Linked DNA regions of Cricetulus griseus. The protein of the gene in region 1 purifies or fractionates together with the protein of each later gene. This does not show direct contact. Links are inferred from orthologs where the notes say so. Each region holds a gene or a part of one and is shown on either strand. Other genes may lie near its edges.

Region 1 (3,373 bases):
GAGTTCATCAATATGAATGAATGTAAGTTATCACAAAAAATTATTTCTCAAAAGGTAAAATAGTAGCTTCATTTCTAGAACTTTATGAATTCTTATTTTATTAGGATAGCTTATAAGGAATGTATAGGAAATGCTGGGCAGAGTAATTCAATTGTGATTCTATCATCTAACATTTTTACAATTACTTTTGTTAAGGTCAGGTACTATTTACTTTTCTTATAAAATGATAGAATGAAAGATTTTGAGTTGTTTTTTAGTAATATTATCAATAGACAAAAAGAGTTTTTACTTTTTTGATTGTCAAGAAACATACTTAAAAAGTTTAAAGAAACAAATAAAAATCAGTTCAAACCAGTCCCAAAATAACACTCAAGTTTTGATAAATTTTTTAATAGTTTTATGCATAAACATGTTTTTTCAAATTGATATTTTGCTATTTTGTTCATACTATGCTCAATTTATCTTACCATTGTAACCACAAACACCTATTATTTTTCAAAAGTATTCTGTTACCTAAAAGTTTGTAAATAGATCATAATTTAAAAGATTTTGTCTAAATATTAATAATCAACCTTTTATGTTTTAATTGAAATTAAAATTATTGAAATGTCACTACATTTATTTCATATTTTCAGGAAATACTTTGAATAATGTTTTATCATGGTAAAGAGCTTAATGTATCATTTCAGAGAAAAGAAGTTTTTTTAATTAGATAAAAACTAATATTATGGGCTGGTGGGATGGCTCAGGGGATAAGATATGCACTTATTACCTAACCTAACAACTTAAGTTTAACCCCCAGGGCCCTACATGGTTGGTTATGCAATAAAATGAAAGCCAAATAACTTGAGCTTTTTTTAACTATAGTAATTATGATCTTATTAAAATATATAGAGGTGCCTAGAGAGATGATTAGTGGTTAATAGCACATATTTCTCCTCCAAAGCACTTGAGTTCAATTCCCATTGTCAGGATATAGGGAGCAGAGGAAGGCCTGAGTGAATGAAGTCCTAAATGATTGTATATCATTGATGTAGACACAGCCATGACAAGGACCAAGGCCTCAGACCCATGAGAAATTGGCCTAAGGCATTCCCCAGTGGTTCAGCCTAGGAATTGACAAAGCCTTCTTCTTCTCGTCCAAGTGTGAATGTTTACAGAGGATTAATCAGTGTGTACAAAAAATAGCAACTTCAGCTTCCTCCTACACACACACACACACACACACACACACGCACGCACGCACGCACGCACGCGCACGCACGCACGCACGCACACACACACACACACACACACACACACACGCACACACACACACACTCTGATGCTCAGTAAAAGGTTCCAGGTTGTTGACTGGGTGTAGTTGGTGCCACTCAAGCAAAGTGCTTACAGCCTACCTGAACCCAGCTTCTCTCTCTCTCTCTCTCTCTCTCTCTCTCTCTCTCTCTCTCTCTCTCTCTCTCTCTCTCTCTCTCTTCTCTCTCTGTGGTGTGTGTGTGTGTGTGTGTGTGTGTGTGTGTGTGTGTGTGTGTGTGTGTGATTTCTTTGTTCCCTCTCCAGCCCTATTTAGGGTTCAGGGCCAACCTATGCGGGTTGTTACATCATCAGGTGGCTCACAATTACCTATAACTACAGTTCCAAAGAGATGCCTCTGACTTCCAAGGGCACCAGCACTTGCATACCCACACACATATCATATGTACATATATATATATATATATATATATATATACCCTAAGTATCAATATATTGGAAAGATAAGTTTAACATATTTTTATAAAGATAATCTAAAAGAACAAGAACAATCATCTATGTGTTTGTTATTTTAATAGAAATTAGCTTATCTACTTCATGACATCAGAAATTAATAGTGTTCGGAAATTGACAACAAGCTTAAGAAGGCAAGTTAGGATCATGAAGAAGTGAATAGAAATGCAACCTACTGAAAGATTGTCCAAGAACATGGGACATCATGATCATTTTGAGATGATTCAAGAGGAAAGTTCGTAAATGAGTGTACTTGATTCATCCAATCCACATAGAATAATAGGATAATCAAGAAGATAAGTGAAAAACCATATTTACCATAACCAGATAGTCCTTAGGAGAGCAACAAGAAAGGAAATATTGCAGATGCATCCTGCCTCTGTTGTAACATTAGACTACATGAAATGTGTGGTGACCCAAGGTGATGCTGACAGTAGAGACCTAAATACTTGTTCCCTTTATTTTGACATTTTATATAGGTGATGCTCATTCTTTTGATAATGAGTGGAAAAGTGAAGTTTTGAAGTTCAAGCCTAGTGGACGACCATGCAATCTAGAAAACACTAGAATTCGAAGTGTGGGTCATGATAATTCAGGGCCACGAGAACTCAAAAGGAGGTAAAAGTTGTTTCTAACAGTGTGCTCTTAAAGGGTATTTAAAAGTTATGTACTGTGTGTTGGGGAGATAGCTCATTCAGTAAAGGTAATCTCATGTAATCTCAAGGACCTGAGTTTGATCACCAAAACCTGTGTTTAAAAAAATAGCCAGACAGAGTAGCATGCACTTGTAATCCAGATCCCTGAGTCTCACTGGCCAACCAGCCTTGCCTATCATTTGAGTCATAACCTAAAGAATGGTAACCAAAAATCTTTATGACCTGTACAAGTGCACATGAACATGAACCTACTCACTCATGTATTCTTACCCCACCCCCACAAACATACAACAACAATTTTATGTAACTACCTCTTATCAGGTTCTTAAGAATATTTAAGTTGTATCTACAGAATCTTTTTGTTTGTTTGTTTTATTTTTTGAGACAGGGTTTCTCTGTGTAGCTTTGGAGTCTATTCTGGCACTCACTCTGTAGACTAGGCTGGCCTTGAACTCACAGAGATCCTCCTGCCTCTGCCTCCCCAGTGCTGGGATTAAAGGTGTGTGCCACCAACACCTGGCCTCTACAGTATCTTTTAGGAAAAAAGTAACAACTTTATATTGAGTCTTAAGTACTCCATGTAAATCAAAATTTTGTTTCTAAAAGCAAATAAATACTATTTTAGAACTATTCTTAATCATCAGGGCAAAAATAGAAGATAAAAATCCTTAAGAAATTTTATATACTGTGATGTAGTTATCTTGTGATACAACTCCTAATGTGAATATTCAAAGTCATACATGTCACACCAGGTTAAGATATTTATATAGACACTATAAAAGGAAAGGATTGTATTTAGAAAACTTAACTTCCTTACCAAGTCAAAATCCAGCATTTAATTATTAATGAATTTTAAATACTTTCACAGTATGCAAAAGTATTATGTAAGTATTTCATGAAATATGGTATTTTATGTGCACTAGATATGTGCATTTAGATATATTTTACAA
Region 2 (4,359 bases), on another chromosome or scaffold:
TATTCACCACCCCAGTACACTATTTGTCTGTCCTTAACCCAAATCTCATACACCTAATGCTGATACCAGTAAGAAAAAAATGCATAGTTTGTTTTGGTTATTTGAGATAGGGTTTCTCTGTGTAGGTCTGGCTGTCCTGAAACTCGCTCTGTAGACCAGAATAGCCTCCAATCCACACCATCCCCCCCACCCACACTACAATTAAAGGCAGTTTTTCTTTCTGTTTTGTTTTTTGTCAGGGTCTCTCTATGTAGACCTTACTGACCTCAAACTCTGGAGACTAGCCTGTCTCTGCCTCAAGAAATGATTTCTTTCTTTTTTTCCAAGATGGTTTCTCTGTGTTTGCCCTGGCTGTCCTGAACTCCATCAGTAAAACCAAACTGGCCTTAAACTAGAAACCATCCTGCCTGTTTGTCCCAGTGCTGGAATGAAAGGTGTGTGCCAGCTGGGCATTGGTGGCGCACGCCTTTAATCCCAGCACTCAGGAGGCAGAGGCAGGCGGGTCTCTGAGTTCGAGGCCAGCTTCTCCAAAGCTACACAGAGAAACCCTGTCGGGGGTGGGGGTGGGGGGTGGGGATGGGGGGTGGGGGGGGTGCCACCGCCAGTGTCCACCCTAAAACTCGGTGATATGATTCCATCTTTCACTTCTCCAGGAGGCAGGAACTTGATCTACAGAGCAAGTTCCAGGACAGCCAGCACTATTACACAGAGGAGACTTGTCTCAGAGACAAAAAGAGGCCAACTTCTCAAGCTGTGGAGCTGGGTCAACTGGCCGAATAATTTGGTCGCACAAGTCTGACAACTTGAGTTCCACCCTAGTAATCCATGAAAGGAGGAGAACTGACTCCAAAAGTTGTACTCTGGGCCAGGCATGGTTGAACACTACAGGCAGACACAGGTGGATCTGTGAACTCCAGACTAGCCTAATCTACATACCAAGTTCTAAGCCAGCTAGAGCTAAAAAAAAAAAAAAATGAACCCTGTACCCAAAAGAAAATGAAGAGGACAGAAAAAAAAAACGGGGTGGGGGGTGGGGGAGAGAGACACAAAACAACAACTTAATCCCAGCACTCGGGAGGCAGAGTCAAACTGACCACTGATTTCCAGAGCTACAAGTGAGAGACTAAAATCTAAAAAACAAAAAAGAATTAATTCAGATATGGTACTGTAGAGCTATATAAATGCAGAGGGTTGGAACTAGCAGAAGAGAGACTGATGGATGGAGGATTCCCACATGTGTGCTGTAACACTCGCTTCATAACCACACAAAGTGGGAGCTAACTTCTTAGCGGGGTGTGGTGAGGCACCCCCTTAGTTCCAGCACTGGGGAGGCAGAGGCAGGCAAATCTCAAGAGTTCAATACAGAGTGAGTTCCAGTACAGCCTAGGGCTACACAGAACTCCTGTCTCAAAAAAGCAAAACACAATGCCAACTTCTTCAAAAAGCAAACACATGAAAAGCCAAAATTTCCAAAGTCTGCTGTGGAAAAAGTGATGGGAAGAGAAATCACAAACATTTCTTCCTTTCTATCAAATCAACCCGTACCTACACAAAGGCAGCATATTTCTTCCCAGATTTCTTATTTCTTCTAATTCCAAAGGTCCACTCGCAGTTCACGGCAAGTGTCTGCACTGATCACTGGCGGCGTAGTAATCACACACCGGAGGGCAATTCCCCCTGTGGTGGGAATTGCCAAAGAACTTCCCAAAGAGAGTCCCGTAACAGATGTGCTCAATTACTTCACGACCAACGTTCAACGACTAGGATGCATTTTCGTTAGGGCCGTTCCCTTCTTGGCTGCTTAAGTCTAGTTTTTCTACTAAAGTAGCTGGCTTTTAGTAGCCATCACTCCCCTAGCAAGCAGTAAGTACGGAGTTCAATTCCCAGGATTGCAGGGCCTAGAAAGGGGGATACAGTGGACTTACTAGCCATAAAACCTGACCACAAATCTATGGTTCAAATAAAGACATTAATAAAAACAAAGTGAGTGCATTGGACCTACACTCTCCACCTGCTTGGGCGTGCCTGAGAAAGTGGGACCATCCCCTCCGTTCCCTTTCGACAATTCACACACAACTTCGGTAAACAAGTTTTAAAATGTCTAACAATTCATTCTATAAAATAAAAACCGCCAGCCCCCCCCCCCAGTTTTTTGTTTTTGTTTTGTTTTGTTTTCAGGACAATCTTAAGGCTTGCAGCGTAGGGTTCCCTTTTCCACAGGACCGAAGCGAATTAAGACTTAATGTAAACTTCAGTTACATAAACTTTTAGTTACATAAACCCACAGCGAGGCACCCTGGAAGGCTAACAGCAAACGGGTTTTGAAAGTAAACGGCGCCCAGTCAGGTCGCCTAGCAAAACTTCCCAACAGTCCTGGGCCGGGAGAGCCCGGCCGGCAGCCTGAGCCCGTGAGCGCGCCTCCCCGGCGAGCCCCGCTCCTCTTCGCCTGCCACCTGACCCCCTCGCTTGCAGAATGCACTGGGGACGCCAGGACAGGGTGACACCGGCCTCGCCGCCTCCCGCGGCCCTGTGGCGGAGCTCGCGCGTGCCGGGCCCAACCGCCACTACAGCCCCGGGAGGCAGGGAGCGGAGCCCGGCCGGGGCCGGCTAGGCCTGAGCGGACCGGCACGGCCTTCTCCACCGAGCCGGTCTAGACCCGGCCCACGCCAGGAAAGCCCCAGGCCTCGGGCCGCGACGCCGGGCCGCCGCTCCGACTGGAGCCCGCCCGTCCGGCCCTGGCGAGCGGCCCCCCGTCGGGCCGGCGTCCCCGCGGCCGTGTGTGTGTGTGTAGGCGCCGAGCAGGTCACCCTACCCGCGCCAGCCGACGGCCCGCCCCGCCCGCGCAGTGGACCCTGCCGTCCGCCCGGTCCGCAGCCCCTCACCGAGGACGCGGCGGCCGGCGAGGGGGGGAAGTCGGGCGGCTGGTCTCCTCGCGGCTCTGGCACAGCTGCGCTGGCGGCGGTGGCGGCGTCTCCTCGCGCTTTCCTTTCTCTCCTTTTCTCCAACAACAAACAGGAAGTGCGTCATGCGGTGGCGGCGCGGCGACGTCCACTTCCGCCCGGTCCTGACGCCACGCATGCGCAGCAGCGGTTACCGGCTCGGGCTCGTGCCGGATTCGAAAGCGCCCCCTTCGCACTCGGAAGAACCTGGCAGCCTTGGTCGCGGATTCCGTGGAGTCGCTAAGGAGGAAGTCGAGAAAGCAGAACGAGCGGGAAGCGCCACCCTGCGCTAACCCTCGGTTTGGAGACCTCCGGAAGCCGGCGGCGACTCCCGGGCGAGCCTGCCTGACTGGCCCCGGGGCCTGCGGTTGCCCGGAAGCAGACTGGGAGGAAGGACGCTCACGGCCTCTGTGGAAACTGACCCATAAAGTTCGCAGATAGCGAGCGACCAGATAGATAGCTTCGTGTGACTCACGCTCTGTGGACGTGGAGTTGTAGTCATGAGGTTTGGAGGAAAGGCTCGCACACTTGAGGCTCTGCCAGGCCGACAAGCAGCCCCGATTTAGGAGATCCTCCTTGGTGTCCCTGTCCCCAAACTTCATCACTTATTTGGAGCAGGAGAGACCCGGTCATCACCAGCATGGAATGCCAATAGAATCCACTGTCTGATTTTCAACGACCTTCTCACCACAAAGGATGTTTTTCCCCTGTTCTTTTAACCCCCTTTGGCTTTCCGTTGAATGAAATCTTTTTCCCAAATGTTAAACATTGACCCCTCCAAGGCCCAGCACAGGCTAACCGAACATTGTACCCGAGGGCCCAAACCCGCCCTCTTTTAAGATGAGGCGCCTCTTGAGTTTCAACCTCTGACCTTGAACTTTCCAGCTCAAAACGGTTAAGTCCCTGGAATTGCAGGTTTTGTTTTACAAACCTCCACCAGGCTCAGTTTACCCGAGATGCTGGACAGAAGGCATTTTGCACATTTCTTCTGCTCAGTAATAAGAAACAGCAGTTTCAGTGGGGCTTCCCCAAGTGTGGCTCATCTACCTAAAGGCTCAACCTCCGAAACTAAGACCTTAGCCTTAGGGACTAAGGTCAATACCACATTCAGTCTGCCCTGACTCTAAGGGTCCCGTGCTCTGGCTGATTCCTCTCAGTTGCCCACACCCTCTGCGCATCTCCCCGGTGGAGAAGTTATAAGCTTCTAACGCTAACAAGAGTTCTGAATATTGATGTTCATGTGCTGTCCTCCTGAGCACAATATCGTATATACTTTTCTTTTGTTAATGTGCCTACTGCACATCTATTTAATAGACTTGCTAGATAAAAATTACAACAGGTCGTCCGGCAGTGGTGTCGCACGCCTTCAGTCCCCACTCTCGGGAGGCAGAGGCAGGTGGATCTCTGTGAGTTCGAGAAC

What was found.
Region 2: the proteins of Mlf1 (region 1) and dnaJ homolog subfamily B member 6 purify together in Homo sapiens (affinity purification with mass spectrometry; 3 studies listed by BioGRID and IntAct, counting the BioPlex papers as one, with this or other methods). This does not show direct contact. The link is inferred for Cricetulus griseus from reciprocal best matches to the Homo sapiens genes MLF1 and DNAJB6.

Annotation. Positions count from the first base shown.
Region 1 is NW_023276806.1:85,663,228-85,666,600, reverse strand, and holds part of Mlf1 (myeloid leukemia factor 1), read left to right. Parts: coding exon 1-22; intron 23-2,246; coding exon 2,247-2,385; intron 2,386-3,373. UniProt on the Homo sapiens protein: Involved in lineage commitment of primary hemopoietic progenitors by restricting erythroid formation and enhancing myeloid formation.
Region 2 is NC_048601.1:92,979,808-92,984,166, forward strand, and holds the start of dnaJ homolog subfamily B member 6, read right to left. Parts: upstream 3,040-4,359; 5' UTR 2,883-3,039; intron 1,905-2,882; exon of another isoform or gene 1,546-1,904; intron 1-1,545. UniProt on the Homo sapiens protein: Has a stimulatory effect on the ATPase activity of HSP70 in a dose-dependent and time-dependent manner and hence acts as a co-chaperone of HSP70. Plays an indispensable role in the organization of KRT8/KRT18 filaments.